Linked DNA regions of Macaca fascicularis. The protein of the gene in region 2 interacts with the protein of the main gene of each other region in a biochemical or structural test. Links are inferred from orthologs where the notes say so. Each region holds a gene or a part of one and is shown on either strand. Other genes may lie near its edges. The genes, in order: MECP2 and PRPF40A.

The links.
Region 1: the proteins of PRPF40A (region 2) and MECP2 form a complex in vitro, tested with the Homo sapiens proteins (2 studies listed by BioGRID, with this or other methods). The link is inferred for Macaca fascicularis from reciprocal best matches to the Homo sapiens genes PRPF40A and MECP2.

What each region holds. Positions count from the first base shown.
Region 1 is NC_088395.1:160,161,376-160,171,819, reverse strand, and holds the start of MECP2 (methyl-CpG-binding protein 2), read left to right. Parts: upstream 1-3,471; 5' UTR 3,472-3,504; coding exon 3,505-3,566; intron 3,567-6,670; coding exon 6,671-6,781; intron 6,782-8,867; exon of another isoform or gene 8,868-8,965; coding exon of another isoform or gene 8,966-8,991; intron 8,992-10,444. UniProt on the Homo sapiens protein: Chromosomal protein that binds to methylated DNA. It can bind specifically to a single methyl-CpG pair. It is not influenced by sequences flanking the methyl-CpGs.
Region 2 is NC_088386.1:48,174,898-48,184,757, forward strand, and holds part of PRPF40A (pre-mRNA-processing factor 40 homolog A), read right to left. Parts: intron 9,721-9,860; coding exon 9,346-9,720; intron 6,673-9,345; coding exon 6,564-6,672; intron 6,018-6,563; coding exon 5,953-6,017; intron 5,606-5,952; coding exon 5,441-5,605; intron 4,408-5,440; coding exon 4,299-4,407; intron 3,415-4,298; coding exon 3,264-3,414; intron 2,322-3,263; coding exon 2,188-2,321; intron 1-2,187.

The DNA.
Region 1 (10,444 bases), on a different chromosome or scaffold from region 2:
GTGTGTGCCACTACGTCTGGCTAATATTTAAAATTTTTTATTTTGTAAAGACCAGGTCTTGCTTCTTGCTATGTTGCCCAGGCTTGTCTTGAACTCCAGTTCTCTGATTTTTTTTTTTTTTTTTTTTTTTTTTTTTTTTGAGACGGAGTCTCACGCTGTTGCCCAGGCTGGAGTGCAGTGGCGCGATCTCGGCTCACTGCAAGCTCCGCCTCCCGGGTTCCCGCCATTCTCCTGCCTCAGCCTCCTGAGTAGCTGGGACTACAGGCGCCCGCCACCGCGCCCGGCTAATTTTTTGTATTTTTAGTAGAGACGGGGTTTCACTGTGGTCTCGATCTCCTGACCTTGTGATCCGCCCGCCTCGGCCTCCCAAAGTGCTGGGATTACAGGCTTGAGCCACCGCGCCCGGCCTGATTTTTAAAAAAAATCATAAGTAGATGTTGAATTTTATCAAATGCTTTTTCTGCATCTATTGAAATAATTATGTGGTGTTTTTCCCCTTAAGTTTGTTAAGGTTGAGTTTCTAATTGTAAACCATATTTGCATTCTTAGGATAAAATTGAACTCGGTTGTGATAGATCATATACTGCAGGATTCAGTTTATTTGTCTAGAATTTTAAAACTTATTTCCACATCTTGTGTCATACTTTTCTTGGCTCATCATAGTAGATATATTAGTCTAGTAAAATAAGTTTGGAGACATTTATTTCTTTTCTGTGTATGATTGGCATTGCCTACTCATTAAAGATTTGGTAGAAGTCATCCGTAAAGCCCTCTTGGTCTGTTCTCTCTCTCTCTCTCTCTCTCTCTCTCTCTGTGTGTGTGTGTGTGTGTGTGTCTGTGTGTCTGTGTGTCTGTGTCTGTGCGTAGGGGGATGGGTAGGTTTTTAAATACATAGTCAATTTCATTGTGGTTACAGGGATTTTCTGTTTCTAGAGCTGGTTTTGGTAAGCTGTACTTTCCTAGGAATGTATTCCTTTTGCTTATGTTTTCAAATTTACTGACGCACGGTTCACAATAAAATCTTTCCATGAGTAATATAATTTACTTTTCTCTTTTCTTTTTATATCCAGCTTGTTAGAGGGTTGGCTCTTGTTTTTCAGCTTTTCAAAGAAGCAGGTTTAAAATTTTCTCAATCCTCTCCATCATTTGTTTCTATTTCATTAAGTTTTATTCATCCTTATTTTTCTTTCTTCTACTTTTGCAGGCTTACTCTGTCATTTTTTTATGGCTTCTTGAATTGGATGTTCAGCGTGATGACTTTTTGACTGCTTTAGCTGCATCTCTATACTTTAGCATCACACACCCAACGGCTTACTCAACATCTCCATTTTCACACCACTGGGCACCCCAAGCTTAATATAGCCAAAGCAGAACTCTTGATCTGCACCTCTGAAAATGTACTTTTCCTGTAGCTCTCCCCACCATGGTGAAAGGCACCCTTATTTCCCCAGTTGCTCAGGCCCCAATCTCAGGAATTATCCTTGTTTCTTTCCTTTCTCTGTGCCCTACATCCAGTCCTTTTGTTCAGTTTTGAAAACATATCTTGAATCTCACAACTTCTCAGAGCTGCACTGACTGCTACCACCCTAGTTAAAGCCACCATCATCTCTTTCTCCTAGACTGTTCTAGGGCCTCGCAACTAGCCTTGTGCTGTAGTTTTGTCCCATCATGTCCAGTTCTCCACTCTACACCTGCAACATACATCAGACAGCTCCTGGCTCAAAATCCTCTAAGGGCTTCTCATCTTAGAATAAACTCAGTTCTGGCCAGGTGCGGTGGCTCACACCTGTAGTCCCAGCACTTTGAGGTGGGCGGATCACCTGAACTCAGGAGTTTGAGACCAGTCTGGGCAACATGGTGAAACCCCATCTCTATCAAAAATACAAAAACTTAGCCAGGCGTGGTGAGCATCTGTGGTCCCAGCTACTTAGGACGCTGAGCAGGGAGGATCGCTTGAGCTCAGGGTGGAGGTTGCAGTGAGCCAAGATTGCACCACTGCACTGCAGCCTGGGCTACAGAATGAGACCCCATCCCCCACCCCCCCAAAAAAGAATGAACTCCCAGTTTTCATAGTGGCCCCGGCTGCCTTTCCAATCACATTCCCTACCACTCTCCAGCAACACTGACCTCCTTGTTAGTCCCCAACATGCCAGGCATAGTCTCTCCTCATGGCCTTTGAACTTGCCTGGAATGTTCTTTCCCCAGATATTCAAATGAGGGAGTAAAATGAGGATGAAAACCCATAGATACCTAAATAGCACCCCCTTTACTCTTACTCTATCTTTCTCAAAGCCCCTGTCACTATGTGAAATGATACATTATACTTATGTGTATGCTAGTATGAATCTTCCCGGCAAGAATCTTAGTATGCTGTCTGTTCAGTACCATGCATCCAGAGCCTGGAAGAGTGCCTGGCACATAGCAGGTAGTCAATAAATGAATGGGGGCAGGCAGCCAAATCAGAATCAGGTTTTCTTGCTAAGCATAGAACTAACAGAAGGATCACTGAATGGATTGGATAATGACTGGCATCAGGGTAAGGTCCCCTTAACAAACACTCCTGTCCTGAACACCTGGTTAGCTAACACTTTTCTCATATTTTCCCAAAACACAATTGCTGGATCTCAGCTCCAAATCCATTTTTCTAGGAAAGTGAACAATTGCTGGATCTCAGCTCCCAAATCACATCTTTCAGGCAGAGCTAACATTGCCCCTTATTCACACCTCCACCAAACCATCTGATCCAACAATGACAGGTGTCACGAGGCCTTGGCATGCACTCTCTTCCCCCGCCAGAGTTCTGCGAAGGCCAGGGTTGGGATTTGTTGTCAGTTTATTCCCCACCCCTACGAGAACGTGACCACCGGGCAGGCTCAGATGAAATAATGCATTGAGTAGGCCTCTGAAACCAAGGCCCCTCAGCTGGGGCAACGTCAGGCTCCAGGGCGGGTAACTTTGCTGCTTCTGCTGAAAATGGTGATATTGAGAAACTGCGGGTGCAGTGAAACGCTTATTGCAGCGCACTCGGTGCATCTGTGGACAGAGGGTCAATCGCCCCTCAGGGCCGCGCAAACAGGCGTCCCGAGCCTGGGCCTTCACTTGCCCCAGCATCCGCAAGGGTCCATTAATCCTTAACATTCAAATTCCGCCCACTAAACCAGCCCCTCCGCGCCCAAGCCGCCTCTTTTCCCCAAACGTCGGCCGAAAGCAGCCAATCAACAGCTGGAGGGGACCGCCTCCTTTTCCCTGGCCGAAATGGACAAGAAATCTCGCCAATTGACGGCATCGCCGCTGTGACCGCCCCCCCGCCCCAGCCCGGCCATCACAGCCAATGGCGGGCGGGCTCGCAGCGGCGCCGGGGGCGGGGCGCGGGCGCGCAGGTGCAGCAGCGCGCGGGCCGGCCGGGAGGGCGGGGCGCGACGTCGACCGTGCGGGGTCCCGGCGTCGGCGGCGCGCGCGCTCCCTCCTCTCGGAGAGAGGGCTGTGGTAAAAGCCGTCCGGAAAATGGCCGCCGCCGCCGCCGCCGCGCCGAGCGGAGGAGGAGGAGGAGGCGAGGAGGAGAGACTGTGAGTGGGACCGCCGTGGCCGCGGGCGGGGACCCTTGCCGGGGGGCGGGGGTCAGGGGCGGGACGTGGCGCGGGAGGGGCCCGCGGGGTCGGACGACACGGCTGGCGGATGGCGTCCCTCCTCTCTACCCTCCCCCTCCCGCCGCCGCCGGTGGCGACTCTCCCTTCGGCCCGTCACCCGTGCTCGCGGGTGACCGTCCTCGGCGCGGCCTCCCTGGAGCCGCCTTCGCCTGACGCCCCTCTTCCTTCCGCCCTCGGCGCGCATCCCGGCCCCCGGCCCCGCGGGCGCCCCTGTCGCCGGGGCTTCGCCTGTCGGGGCTGCGCGCGCTCCTGCCCTGCTCGGGGCTTTGGGCCGCGGCGCCGTCGCGCGCCCGCGGCCCCGGCCTCTCCCTGGATCGCGCTCTCCCCTCTCCTCCCTCGCGCGCCCCCTCTCCCGTTACTTGGCCCCCCCCACCGGCGCGCGTGCGCACTTCGCCTCCCGTCGGGAGAGTGCGCCACAAGGGCTCCTGAGCTCTCACCCCCATCTCTGGGCTTTGCCTCCCCCTCCTTCTCGCCCATTCCATGAATTTCTGCCCCCCCACCCCCACGCGAGCGAGTAGGTCCACCGGCTCCTTTCCCCATCTAGCAGGAACAAGGAGGTGGGGATTATTGTCCACAAAAGGACTAGACATTGTGTTCTGGGTCCCACAACTCATCATAAAGAGGTGGTTATAGTTCCCATCAGGAGCCGTGAGTAGGGGACTGTGCGTCCAGCAGCACCCGAGGCTCTTCGGCGCCTGAGGCTCTAAGGTGCGAGCGTGTCCCCAGGGTGCTCAGAGGTTCTTTGGAGTGCTGTGGCCTCGGAATGTGAGCACCCTCCCATCTTACCCTCCCCTTCGCCGGCGATCTTCCAGTTACATAAGTGGAGTGGGACATAGTAGGTAACGGGCTCTCATCGCCCTGGAGCGCTCGGGATCACCGGTACCAGATGGAGCAAGTTCATCGCGACGCTGTGGCTCCTGTTCATTGTGCCTGAAAGGTTATTCTCTGTTCAGTTTGGTTATGACCGAATCACCCAAACTGAAACTCAGATGACTTTTATATGGCAGTGGCAATGTTTCTGTGGTTTTGCACTAAAGACTTAAGGTCATTATGAAGAGTTTAAAAGGATTGCTCTCGCAGGGGAGACCGTTTATGACATTGCTAAGTATGGACCCCAAGGGGGAAAAAGCTCATTCTGGAATTGCTCTGTGGCGGTGACTTCTGTTGTGAGTGTGTTCGGGTGTGGGTTGGTCACAGCAGAAATGGGCTCCACCACAAAATTGATATTCCTGACTCATGGTCAGACAGATGTGTGCTTCTGGTTATTTTTCCAGGAACAGGAATGGGCTCTGCCGAGCCTTGCACACGTTGTGTCTCTGCTGTGCGGGATCAGTACCCCAAACTGAGATAACAGGATCGAATTCATGGGTTGGTTGGTGATCCAGGAACCATACCTACTTGGATGTGATACTGAGTGACTTAGACGTTGTAGGACTCTCATAAGTTTTAGGCATTTTGTTATACTGTAAAAAGCATATACGGCCTCGGTAGTAACGTTGCACTAATAGGTAATTATTACTCTAGAGAATTTTGGGTTCCGTGGCTGGAATGTTCATCTGTATCTCAGCAATTTCAGTTAATAACCAGATTAAGCTGACCTCTTGAGTCTTTTGAAATCTGCTGGGTCCCTATAATAAGATAGGGTCTGGATTTTTTAATCTTTTGGGAATTTCCACCAAGGATTTAGGGAAATAGGCTTATTTATGGGCTTTTCAGGATTTCTATTTTAAATCCCAGTCAGGAAGTGTAGGAAGCACTTGCTTTTATTTTCTTACGTGAATATGTCAGAACCTTAAATCACCCAATCAATCTAGAAGTAGTACAATTGATTAAAATAAGTCACCACAGGTCACCCATTCGTGGCAGGTCAGCTAGGTGGCTGATCACTGGAATACAGTCATATCCCCAGGCAGACACAGGAGCCTCACTTGACGATCCCAAAGTTTGTACATCTGAGCTTGAGACATGACAAGTTGAGGTCTCTGCTTTGTTCTTCATAGTTGGCAGTTTGTCTCCTCGGGTTCCCCTCCAGTTAGCTGTTTATCATACACCTAGCCCTTTCAACAGTGCAGGCAGCTTCCATAGTATAGTTTTCTCTTCAAAGTGCCGGGTGGAGGGGTACCCCCCTTTCCATTGTCCTAATGGCTCCATAGGGCTTCCATACCAGCCCTTTCCAGTGTCCTAACAGCTCAAAGAAACCATCTATGACTTTCTTGTTAGCACTGGCCTATCACACCTTCCTATTGCCTGTTACTAAAATTTAACCTGGAATGCTTTAAGCTTAGAGTACTGGGTCTTTGTTTTACCCGATTGATAGGAGAGTGTCATACAGTCAGCAGAACTCCGACTTTTGTGCTGTTTAATACTTAGGTAGGTCTGGGGCAAGGCACAAACCACTGTGTATTCAAAGGGTTATGGTGCTTACATTCTGTGTGTATATGTTTGTAATTTCCAACCAGAGTCATTTCCCGTGCCTGCCCTGCCTCTGTGCAATCTCATCTAGTGGAGTAGGGAGGCAAGCTGTGGAGTTTGAAAAAAAAATAAACAAAAAAACTGGCTAGATGAGTTTAATAGGCTGTTACCCCCTCTGGAACATTCCTCCCATGTGGAGATGAAATGAGAAGTTCGTTTCTTTAACCTAAAATAAAGAACAACAGAGATAAAATTGTTAGTTCCTTATTGGAGCCTGGTTTCCACTGCTTTGGACTCTGCATGATAAATGACGTGTCCTAGAACCTGAAATATTTTATAAAGGGTAATATCTGCAGAAATCTTTTAATTAGCTAAAAGCAGTTTGTTCTCAAGCTGCCCGAGTTATCTTGGAGGAGGAGAGAATCACAGAAAATGTTTGATATTTCTAGTAACCAGTGTTTTCAGTGCATGGGGTAAAGCACACTCCTAGACTGGCCAGTCCCGAAGAGTGTGGCAGGACACCTGCTTGTTTTCCCTGCCCTCTACTATGGTGACATCCTTGCAGACCAGTCTTGCGTGGCTGGCAGACACAATCTCTTTTTCTTGGGTAGAGCATTATCACCGCTGCGATGGAAGGACCTTGTCCTCAGTGCCTCCATACCAGCCCTTTCCAGTGAAACTACTGCTGTCCGGGCAAGCCCTGTGCATGTGCATCATTCCGGGTAGGACAAGACATGAACAGGTCCCTCTTCTTTGGGCTTAAGTAGAAGTTGAGCTCTTCTGCTTTTATCTGTTTTCTTCTGCCTTTCTATTTCAAGAAACCTTCTCCTGTCAAAAGCTTGGTTCACATGCCATTGCTTAAATACTTCGATGGTATGTATGGTGTGTGGGATAACTGAGTGGGAGCCGGAATTGGGGGGTGGGCAGGGCATCCCCACCCCCACATCAAAGGGAGAATGACCATTTCGTTAGAGAATAAAAAGCCTGAGTCTTTATAACTTCTTCAAGCACACATATGCTGGGTCTGGTGGCGTGTGAATGTGTCCCCGCTGTGGTGTGTGGCTGTTTTGCAGTTCCTGTAGACACTGTAGTCTGGGCTCTCATTATTGCCTCTGAAGCTGACAGGACTAAACCTTAGTAAGGATGCACTTGTCTTCCTTGCCTAAGAGCTAGGGGTGTTTTATATATATATGAACTTTTTTCTTTATTAGATTTCACAAACTGCTCTCATTTTCTGGCTTCTTTCTTTCTTTTTTCTTTTCTTTCTTTCTTTTTTTTTTTTTTTTTTTTTTTTTGAGACAGTCTTGCTTTGTCGCCCAGGCTGGAGTGCAGTGGCACAATCTCAGCTCACTGCAACCTCTGCCTCCTGGATTCAAGCAGTTCTCTGCCTCAGCCTCCCAAGTAGCTGGGATTACGGGCACCCGTCACCACGTCTGGCTAATTTTTTTTTTGTTTGGTTTGGTTTTTTTTTTTTTTGGTCGAGACAGGGTTTCGCCATCTTGGCCAGGCTGGTCTTGAACTCCTGACCTTGTGATCCACCTGCCTCGGCCTCCCAAAGTGCAGGGATTACAGACGTGAGCCACCGCACCCAGCCTCTGTCTCTTTTCTTTTTGACATGAAATCTTAAGTTAATTATCTTAAACTTTAAGAACTAGAAGGATCCTTAGTCCAGCACCATCAGTTTGCAAACAAAAAAAAAACCTGTGTCCCTGAGAAGTTGTGACTTTTCCAGGGCCTCCTAGCCAGGATACCAGTTTGGTTTTTATTAGATAGCTAACCGAGTAATACTATTAACTTGACTTCTGGGGTTTCAAAGTATTCTATGACTTGACTGTTTAAGGGAATTATGAGGCCTCACTGAACCTCAAAAGATAATTTTAGATACCATCCTGTTAGCTATAGAGCAGCAAAAGAGCAGTAAAAGACTTGGTTGGTGTTGCCCTTCTTCCGGGTTTGATTACATGAGTAATTGTGTGGATGGTCTCTAAGTTGTATGCTCTGAGCTTTTGTTTTTAGCTTATAAAAGTGCTACTTTTGGGCCAGCATAGTATCAGAAATTAGGTAATTAATATGGGGCAGTTTAGGCTTTAACAAGGAAATGATGGTTATCTTAATGACAGAAATGGTACTGACAAAAGTCCTTTTTTGAACATGTGTTCAAAAGCAAAAGAGAAACTATCAAACTGATAACTCAGTTTGTTAAATAGTGAGATTGACTGATCTGAGAGGCTTAAAACTGATTGCCCTGAAATAGACTTGCATGTTTTGGATGATGGCTTTGGGTCTCCCAGAGCACTTGGTTTCCCATGGTGCTGATTTTTTCTCTCAGGATTAAAGCCCCTTTATGTGATGTTGTTACAGCAGCTCATTGCAACTTCATTCAGCTGCTTGCAAAAGAAGGGAGACTGCCTCTAGGTTCCATGTGTTCTTTCAGGGATGGTATTTTGATGTTGCATATTCTCTTGAATATGTATTCTTCCCTGAGAATTTCTGTGTGACGTGGTGGAAGAAATACTGGCCAGAAATCACCATTCATGGTATGCTTTTGTACTGTCGAAGTGTCCCCTAGAGGTGACAAGACTTGTGATAGTGTTGATTCTAACAAGCATGAGTCTTTCCTCTATTTTAGCACTGTGTGTTACTTACGTGCCAGTAATTTGCAGTTTATCCTTTGTTTCTAGCTAGGTAAGCTGGGAAATAGCATAGTACTTTGTCTGTGTGTTTATCTTCAAAATGTCCCAAATAGCCCTGGGAAAAAGGTCGTGCAGCTCAATGGGGGCTTTCAACTTACAATTTTCTTTGTTTTAGGCTCCATAAAAATACAGACTCACCAGTTCCTGCTTTGATGTGACATGTGACTCCCCAGAATACACCTTGCTTCTGTAGACCAGCTCCAACAGGATTCCATGGTAGCTGGGATGTTAGGGCTCAGGTAAGTAACCTTCCTTTTTTTTTTTTTAGTATATGTCCTGGTTTGGCCATCTGTTTTTTTTTTTTAAAAAAAAAAAAAAAAAAAGGAAAAAAGGAAAAAAATATACTACTCTTGGACAGTATAAAAGTACCCCAAAGACTAAAGACATAACTGTGCCAAACTGTGCCATATAATAAAAAAAAGTCACTTCCCTGAGCCCTGAAAGGTCAGTGTGGGTAGGGTTACCTGGTCGCTACAGCGAGATCTGGGGGCGGGCGTCAGATTAGAGCCGGAACTGGTGATCTGCAACTTCAGTTCACCTTGAAGCAGGTCAGCTGAGCTGAGAGCGCTTGCACTGAGCCCTTCTGCGCTGCTGCTGTTGCCTTAGCGGTCTTCAGCATGTGTTTACTTCGGTTTGGAGTAAATGCTTTAGTGGTCAGCGTTAGTGAGCAGTGGTAATGCATTTTCAGATATGGGAACTGGTATATGGTTGGTTCCCTAGAAGGACACCCTCCTGAAAGCTGTCTCAGAACACCGGGGGCCATGACTAATAAATATCATGTGCTTGCCACACTCCTCCCATGGTAACTAAAGAGAGTACCCAGATATACATCTGTTCTTGAGACTCTAGAGGAGGATGAGTAATTTGTAAAAAGCTGGGGGCCCAAGTCATTCTAGGTCTGACACTCAGGTGCTGTATCAGCTGCAGTTTGAACTAGTTGGCACCATTGTGTGGACTTTAGTTTTGTAAAAATGAATGGTTCCTTCAGGCTCAACATCTCAAGCTGTTTGTTGTTGTTGTTGTTTGTTTGTTTTTGTTTTTGTTTTTTGATTAGTGGTCACTCCACATTTGATGTTTTGACGTGTGGATTTCAGAACTTCTGTGTGGTAAAGCCGAATGTTCCAATTGAATTTTCCCTTTCTTTTCCCCCTAAGCAAAAATGTGGGTTTTCACATATACAGCCATTGTGATTCCAACTGAGACCCTAAGTCATACTTTGTTGTGTCTCTCTTGTGGTTTCTGACACCTCAGTGTGAAGCTGTTGTAGACATCCATAAGAAATAGCCTGCTTAGGAATTATGTGAGGGCAAGGTTTGGCTGAAGGAGAATAGAAGGTGTGGAAGGAAGGAAGAGCATCACACTCCTCAAGTCCCAAATTTGATTCTGCTCCTGATCCTGTGACTCAAATTGTCATTCTCCTTTACTGCTGTGGGGTGTGCTCTGGGCCCGACTGACAGGACATTCTTTGTACTCCACGTATTTATGCTGGTGGGAGTTGTATGGCTAGTGCTTTGTGCTTTGTCTCAGAAATTGTGTGGACTAAATGTAATATGGGCAGTGAATGGGTTTCTTCTGGAAGATGTTAGGCCTGTAGGGTGGTTTGGGTTTTTAAGAGTCTTTTTCTCAGATCACACGAATGGATGTTATAAAACAGGCAATGTTGACACCATACAGTTTCTCCTAAGAAATGTA
Region 2 (9,860 bases):
GATTAGCAAATGAACACTAAATAAAAATAGTCATCATCATAACCATAAGTACTGAGATGCTCTCCATTAATTATATTTTATTGTCTAATGCCAATCTTCTCTTTTAATTCATTTCACTAAAGTCTTAAATAAATCTTTTGAAGTAGCAGAACAGGAAAATTACCAGGCTGAATATCTGAAAGAATATTAATATAACATACTTAACACCAATTTTATTAGTAGTAATCAGAAACTATGCTAGACACATAGCAATCTGATTCAAAGCCACATTTAGGCTTATTTGCGGAACCGTGCAGACTTTACATCAAAATTTCGCCTCATAGTCTCCACCTTCAGTATTGTTTACGTTATAGTCTCATATTTTCTATGACCCAGATTTCCATCTTATTTTCACTGTATTATTATTTTTTCACATATGTCTCCTTATTTTAAACCACTGCAAAACCTTCACCAGAGACGTTAAAGCTTAGGTTGTGGAAGAGTGTATAATAGTCCTCCTAAATATCTGTCCTCCCCTTCTTCCTGGGCACATGGCTGCTTAGCTAAAAGCTAAGTTTTCTAGCCTCCTTTGTGTAGCTAGTTGTGGCCATGTGACTAAATTCTCAGCAACTGAACCCAAATGAAGGAGGTGAGCAGAGCTTCTAAACCATTAGCTTTAAAAAAGAACTGTTCTTTCGACTTTTTCCAAGTTAAAATGTGAAATGGGGGCAGCATACCCCTAACTCTGCAGAGAAGGTTAACACGCTAGGGCAATGCTTCTCAAAGTATGGTCCAACAGTATCGATACCACCTGGAAATTTAGAAATGTAAATTTTCAGACTACAACCCAGACTTACTAATTCAAATTCTTCAGGTAAGGCCAAACAATTTGTGTTTTTAACCATTGTAGAATATGATAGTCTAGGAAGTCACTAAGATAAAGAAACCCATCAAGAGTAGTAAATGTTAAGTTTTCATTGAATAAGGACCGAAATCATTCTACTGGCTGTGGCGTTTAAGATGGTTAGTAACCTTTGGCATAGTGGGAATAATTTTTTTTTTTTTTTTTGAGACAGGATCTCGCTCTTTCGCACAGTCTAGAGTGCAATGGCGCCATCACAGCTCACTGCAGTCTTGACCTCCTGGGCTCAGGTTCTCCCATCTCAGCCTCCTGAGTAGCTGGGGCTACAGGCGTGCACCACCACACCCAGCTAATTATTATTATTATTTTTGTATTTTTAGTAGGGAGCGGGTTTCATCATGTTGCCCAGGCTGGTCTTGAACTTCTGGACTCAAGCAATTGCCAGCCTCAGCCTCCCAAAGTGCTGGGATTATGGGCATGAGCCACTGTGCCCAGCCAGAAGAAATTTTTAAAAAGTCCTCTACGTCATTCTAATACACACTGAATTTTGAGAACCTCTGCCTTAGGGGATGGCAATATGCCCTGCCCTAGACCAAAAAGACTGTTATTTCAAGAAAAAAACTTAAAATTTAAGCCATTGTAACCTAGCATTCACCCTAATACAATGGTTAATGGAAGAGACCCTGTAATCAAAACTGCATAGATTCAAATTCTGGCTTCACTATTCAGCAACTGTTGAACTTGGGCAAGTCACTTCACCTCTTCATTTCCTTAGTTATATAAACTTATGTAACAAAAACAGTAAGTACCCTTATAAGATAAGACTGTCATAAAAATTGAGATTGTAAACATAAATTGTATTGACAGTAAGCAATCAAAGAACATTAGCTATTACAATTATTATTGAAATGGGTGAGATATGAAATGCAAAAAATTCATTGCTCCATGATATTTTCTATCTCTGAAAATAAAAATGATACTTGAAGATGAAAATAAACTACTAGCTGAAAAACATGCAATCCCAGGTCCTTTTTTTAGTGTTTAAGAAATTATGGCCCATCCCCAAACTATACCCTAGCAGTCCCTTTGTCCTCTAGAAACTAAGTATCATCTACTACTGACTCACCACACATATCTTGTTTCCAGTCATCTCTCCTGTTGTTTTCCCCAACCGAAACCTCATTTATCAATGTTCATCTGTAGAACTTAAAGAGTTAAATGTGTATGAGTCCTCACAAAGCCTAAGTCTATGATCTGGGAACAGTTGTCTCAAAATTCTTTATATTACTGTTCAAGTTCTGTAAGTATAATATAAAACTAAGCTAGAAAAGAGCTTTTTCTTTTACCTGGAAAGATTCCCTATTTTTTCGCTGTCGTCTCCTTTCTCTTAGCAAACTCTTCTGTTTTTCTTCTTCTTCTTCCTTTTCTAAAGCCCGAATGTGTTCTTCAAAGCAAATTAATGCATCTTCTTTGTCCATATCTAAAGTATTTGCCAGTTAAAATTTAAAGTGTCAAATGTCAACAAGTAGTTTATTTGCATTAGATCCCCCAAAATTTCAAAATCACCTGTCAAAAATACTTTTAGCTAGGCTAGGGTGAGGTGGCTCATGCCTGTAATCTCAACACTTTGGAAGGCTGAGGTGGGAGGACTGCTTGAGCCCAGGAGTTCAAGACTAGCCTAGGCAACACAGCAAGACCCCGTCTCTAAACAAACAAACAAACTTGTATTTAAACTCAATATGATTTGTAATCATCTGCATAGGAAAGTTTTAAGGAAAATTTCACAAAGAACTCAATAAAAGGCACACTGAAACATGTCATAGGATAAAACAAAGGACGTGCATATGGCAAAACTAATGAAAATAAAAGTGTTATGATAAAATCTGTTTGCAATATCATAATTATTCCAAGAGCTTAGTATAGAACTGTGCACCCTATAAAAAAAATCTACTGAAGCATGACTTTTAGAGAGGTAGCTGAGAAAGCTATAATTTAAAAAGCAATTGGTTAACTCAGAAAGAATACTTAGGGAAGCCTAATGTAAGATAATTCTAATACATTTTCTTCTTTTTACAAATCTGTAATGTTATTACCTCAAAAAAACACGAGTAAAATGCGGTAATTCATTTAGTTCTTACCAAGTTACATACAAATGGCTAAGCATGATTTCAAATTTGACCTATAATTTAAATATTTCAAGTATTACCTGATAAAGCTACTTTAAATTTGAAAAAACATTTTGTCATGAATCACAAACTCAATCAGAAAGAAATATCCTATTTGGAAATAAATAAAACACTTTTTCAGAAATGAACCAACAACTGCATAAAATTCAGTTAGTTATCTCATATAAAAAGTGAAAATAATTCTTCGCTGCTGGAGGACACTATTTAAAACTATTTCTCTTAGCCATTATTCTTACTTTGTAACTCCTCATCTTCTGCAAAAGTTGGATTATCCATCAGATACTGCTGGGCTTCAGACCAAGTGGTAGAGTACGTTACATTAGCCATGTTGTCAAGTATGTTTTTTAAGGCTTCCCAATTTCTCTTTCGCAACTGCTTTGCTTGTTCCTATAGCAGAAGTATGAATATATATGTTTCAAAGTTCCAAGAAATTAAGATACTTAAATTGCAATTAGTGAAGGCTTTATATTCTAATGGATGACCAAATTTCAAAGGTTAAATCAAATTTCAAGTAAATTTCATTTACTTTAAATGGCCACACTGCTGACTTTGCTTGCTCTTGCCTAAGCACTTGGCTTTGGTACTTAGCTTCACATTTTCCACCTCCTTCTAAAAGCTAGAATCTGGAAACCATGTTTTCAGCTTTTCCCCCATACATTCCCCACTACATAAACCTTTCTACCACTAAGCATTACAGACAAAAACTAAGGTTACCATGGACAAGTCACATTGCAGGTAAATGCTAAAGTCTTCAATGACCTTCAGCTATGTTTAAATTTGATAATACTTGCATCTATGTGTTCCTTGAAAACTAAAAAGCATAAAATATAATAGTGCACAATGAAAAAGAGACAGGAGTGAAATAGGTATTTTAAAATGTTATAAGTTTTGTAGAAACAACTGCACACTGCTGTCATTCTTGTACCAATCATGTTTGTTATAAGCAAAAAAACCCAGCATTTTTAAACCTAATGAGCAAAAAAGGTACCTTCTTTTTCAAAGTGAGTGTTTAAGATAGCCAATTAATGACAATACAAATAGCTGAATTACCCACTGAGTCTACATCAGTACTTAATACGCTACATGAATGATAAAGAAGCTTATTATAGAAGTTACACATTCCATCTTTAAATGTTACTTCCAATAAATAATCTGCTATACCACATAAACTGGATAAACTAAGCCACAAAAACGTACACATTTTAAAACCAATCTTCCTGAGAATGAGGAAACATCTTGTGTTATCTATAAATACCAGTAACTAAGAATACCTTTTCTTTTTTTGAAAGAAAGAACAAAACATCTTCGTAGATTTCAAGACGATCACGTTCTGATATTGCATTCCAAACTTCCATCTCTCCAAACATTTGCTCTGCTTTTCTATGTTAAAAAATTATATTATACAATAAAAATTAATCTTAACCAATTTTTAAACTAAATTTAAAACTACAAAATGAATACTTTCTATTCGAAGTTCATAAAAATATTAAAGGCATAGCACATGCCTCCCTCTCTCGTTAGAGATAGAGGGGATAATTCACATTAGGCACTGCTTATAGTCTAGACTACCTCTGTATCTAGTGGCAGCCACACAAGACTACCAAACTGCTGACAGAACTAAATTACAGACTTCTCTGGAATACTGAGGAAAACAAAGAAGTACATACAGAAAATAGGCTTAATAACATATCGAAAAACTTTTAACATTATCCACAATTTTACATAAGCAATCTAAAATGAAGAATGCTATATAAAACAATTATCCAAAATGCTATGCCTACGTAATGAAAACCGCCTCTTTTTACTCCACAAAGATCAATAATGTCAATGTTTTTAAGTAAAAGGCAATCAAATTTGATTTTTCTTTTCTGTTTTTTGTTTGTTTGTTTTTTGAGACAGGGTCTCGCTGTCACCCTGGAGTGCAGTGGTGCAATTATGGCTCACTGTAGCCTTCCCAGGCTCAAGTGATTTTTCTACCTCAGCCTCCCAAGGAGCTGGGACTACAGGCACGTGCCACCATGCTTGGCTAATTTTTGTATTTTTCTTTTTTTCCCCTATAAACAAGGTTTTACTATGTTGCCAAGGCTGGTCTTGAACTCCTGGGCTCAAGCCATCTGCTTGCCTTGGCCTCACAAATAGTAGGGATTATAGGTGTGAGCCACCACGTCTAGCCTCCAACTTGATTATTGAATTCAATCTTTCTCCCCTTCTTCCAGTCTCTAAAAAACTTAGTAAGTCTACAAGTTAAATTCTACATTTAACTACAGATTTATTTGGTACCTCATGAAGCTTCCACATTCATAATTATCTAGTTTTATTTAATGAGCTCTGGATCAGCTACTGCACATGGCAAAAAAGTACGACACAAACAACAATGTAGTAAATATAGGCCATGCAACATTCAACATCTTACTTGTATCTGGTTGTAGAAGTCATTTTCTCATGATTTTCAAGAAAACGCTGAAAGGATTCCTTAGCCTCTTTGTACTTTGATCTTGCTTCTTCTTTTTCTTCTTTTTCTGTCTGGACTTTATAGGCATTAAAGGCTTGCTTTTTTTCACTTAACTTTGCCAAAGCACTAATATAAAAATACCATATAAGAGTAGACACAGGCAGAAGAATCAAATATTAGTGATTTGATAAAAATAAAATTGTTTACATATATAAATTTTAAAAATTTCAAAAATTTATTAAAGACAAGAAATGATTGGAGAAAGTAATTTCTACTTTTAAAATAATTATTATTTTATATGTAGCAGGGTAAATTGTTTGACTGACTTTTTGGTTATTAGACATAAAACAACTCTATACTTGGTATCCTAAACAGATGTCAACAGAGTTAAATGTTTTCTCTTTCTATACAACTTTAAATGTGTTAGGCTTGCTATGCTCAAACTGAAAAGTAAAAAAAAGCTGAAGTATTACCTGTATCGTGGATCATTAATAATCATTTTCATGGCTTGCTCCCATGAAGCATTTGATGGTACCCGCTGAAAATCATTTAAATGAAAAATTAAAATTTCACACAAGAAGAGTTTAAGTCACATAACAGGAACCAAGTATAATACTCACTGCAAATATCAAGCATTTCCATTTGCAGGAGTTTGAACAAGTTTTAAAAAAATAGTTTTTTATTGAAGGCAAATCTGTGTAATACACCTATGAACTAAAATGAAAACTTTAACTGAAATTTAAATAGAGCATAAATGCTTTTTTCTTAGACTACTGATAAAAGATAATTATTATGAATTTTAAAACCCCTTACATTAAATATTGGGTAGAAATGTGCTTGTGTAATACCTTGTACACAATAGTTTTTGTGTTGAAAGTCAGTTTCACAAGTGTTCTTCAAAAAAAAAAAACAAGACACATTTAGTTGCTTTTCAGTTCAACAGTTCATGAGACTGGTATTATCAATACCATCAAAGTTTAAAGAGTAACGTCATTTATTGGGTAAATATTATGCATCACATAAAAATCTGTAATATATACGTGATGTCAAAAAGTTAAACAATAAAAATCTGCAATATTAATACCTTTTCTTTCAATAATTCTTTAAAAGCTTGCTTTGCCTCCTCCTTTGTATTCCAAGTGTATGTTTTCTTTGCTGGTTGGCTCTCCTCCTCTTCCTTTTTGGGAGTAAAACTAGAGAGAAATTCAAATGTGGTATTTATGAATTAAATAAATTTTTGTTTCATTTAGAAAAATAATGCCTAAACTGTTTAAATGTTTGATGTTGAATTAAAATTTGACATTTAGGATAAAAGCTATATGAACTCTAAAAAACACACTTATCTGAAGACAAAGAAATAAAGATAATAGTTTCATAAAACTTCAGTTATTAAATCAGTTTTTAAGACCCTGGACAAATGACAAAATAAACGTTTAACTGACTTAAGACACTAGCTCCTCTGGCCCACAGGTTAATAGTTTTAAATGGCTTATTAAACTCATTCACTGGTTCCACATTAGTGCTGCAATAACTCTAAGGATTTGGGCAAGGGTGAAGATTAATAAGATGTAAGGATCAATCTAAATCAGGATTGACAAACTACAACCCACTAGTCAAATTCAGCCTATTAATTTTTGTAATTCTAGTTTTACTTGAAAATGCCCATGTTCATTTGTTTACAGATTGTTTATCGCTGACTGTGCTACCACAGCTGATTTGAGTCACTATATAAAGACTATATGACACAAATAACCCAAAAATATTTCCAATCTGATATTTCATGAAAAAGTGTGCTGAATACTGATGTCAAACAAAAATTAATACTACCCAGAATCACTAACTTGTTTAATAATTGGGGGTCTTCCTGACAAGAAAAAATTGTATAAGCCTTACATTTCTTTCTACATAATAAGGGAATGTATGGGGTGGGGGTCGGGGGATGAAAAAAAAATACTTTAAGTAGAATGCTGACGCAAACAGACACTGTAGTAGATACTGACAAAAAATGATCTCTATTATAGTAATTAAAATCAAAAGCATATTATAATGACTCAGGCACTATAGCAAGGAAATGTCGGAATGAAAAAAGCAGGGAACAACTATTTAATGTTAAACTTATGGAAAACATTATTGATGAAACGTTTCAGTACGACAAGATGCAAAATAAAATTATTCCAAAAAGCCTAAGTATCTACGGATAGGGGAGCACTTCCATTCATGCACAATCAAATGATAGTAACCCATCACTAGACATGATGGGTCCACATTTCTATCAATGTGGAAGATGTCTCTGATATATTAGATATATATTCATGTATCTTAAATGTAGAGAAAATGTTAATTTCATTTTCATGCCTTCAAATACGCCATACGGATTTCTTTTAAAACGTTTTAAGCATCAGAAAAGGTTATCAATCTATTTTGACTTTGGGAAACTAACATACGAACAACAAAAGAACACTTAAAATAAGGGATGGATGGATGAAGGCAACACGCTTAAATATTAAGATGGATAATCATGTTTGGATAATGAGCTTACGGTTAACTATTTTTTTTAAAAAAACATGAGGGCACCCTTAAAGTCAAGAAATTTAGCTTGATCTCACTTTCTAAAGCTCTATAAAGCACAGCCATATAAACTGTACTAGACTACAGGTTATGCAAGTACACACAAACTGTGAACTCTTGACAGATACAGCTTTGTTTTATTAAAAAGTTGTATTACTTTAGTCTAAGAGTGAAATGAGAGTTTTCTTATATCTGGTGTTATCTTTTAAATGTTTCTCTACTTGATTTTCACTTAGAAAAATAATCACAATATTATTTTAACTTGTATTTCTTTATTATTATGGCTGAATGGCTTTTCATATACTTCCTAGACAACTTTCTTTCTCTGTAAATTGCCTTTTTTCCTTGGCCAGGTAGAAAAATCCCAGCATTCTGGGAGGCTGAGGCAGGCCAATGAGCTAGGCATGGTGCATGTGCCTGCAGTCCCAGCTACTCAGGAGGAGACTGAGGTGGCAGAATCGCTTGAGCCCAGGAGGTCGAGGATGCAGTGAGCCCTGATCACGCCACTGCATTCCAGCCTGGATGACAGAGGGAGACCCTGTGTCAAAAAAAAGAAAAAAAAAGGGTGGCCTTGCTCTCTCACCCAGGCTGGAGTGCGGCGGTATAATCATAGCTCACTGCAGCCTTGAACTCCTAGGCTCAGTGACCCTCCTGCCTCAGCCTCCCCAGTAGTTGAGGTTAAAAGTGCTGGCTGATTTTTAAATTTTTTGTAGAGAGAGGGTCTTGCTATGTTGCCCAAGTTGACATTAAACTCTTGGCCTCAAATGATCCTCCTGCCTGGTCCTCCCAAAGTGCTGGGATTACAGGTGTGAGCCACCATGCCTAGCCATAAACTGCTTTTTCCCCCCCCATAATTCCTTTTTCTACAAAGCTGTATTTTTAAAACTGATTTATAGGAGGCTGAAACCCAAAACACCAATAACCAAAGAAGAAACAGTACACCTATCTTAACTGAAAATATTGAGTCTGTTAATCATGAATTTCTGCACTGCTCTCATGTAAAATATTGCATCAAGATATGATGTATCTTGCTTACTAAGGTTTTTGGCAATCTTTCAGATTTGTGCCCCAACTCCCCAGCCTTGGCTCTACTTGTTAAAATTTCAGCGAACTAAAAATTTCAAGTTTGCTGGCATAACCCTCCAAAATTCAGCCTGAAAACTGATCAACTATCTTAACGGCTTGATATTACGATTCTCAAAAAAATTTATTTAAACAATTTATGGCCACTAAACTGGCAACTACTTTTATTAATGAAATCTGGTACTGATTTTTAGAAGACAAGTTACTAAACTTACTCAGCTACAGTTTCTTGCTTAGATGTTTCTTCTCCAGTATTACTGGATACTTCCACACTTTGATCCTGAATAGCAGGGGTACTAGTAAGTTGTGCTTGTTCCTCAGTTGAAATAGTTACTGTATTCTCATTATCTACAACAGTAGCAACAATGGAAGTAACTTCAGGCTCAGGAACAACTGGAACAGTTCCACTGACAGTATTAGAAGTAGAAGTGGAAGCATTAGCATTGGCTGCAGCTGCTGCAGCTGCTGCTGCTGCTGCAGCTGCAACAACAGCAGCTGCTGCTTCTGCAGCAGCCATGGTGCTCATTGTGGTCGGAATTTCTGTTGTAGGGACTGGGGCTGTTGATGTTGTGGTGCACTCTTCTTGCTTACTATACATTAAAAAAAGAGAACACTGGTCATTTCATTATTGTAATCAGAAAGCTAAATAAAGCTAGCTTTAAAATTGGCATAAAATCAAATAATAAGAAATAATTGAAGGAAAAAACAGCAAGAAATGCCAAACCCATTA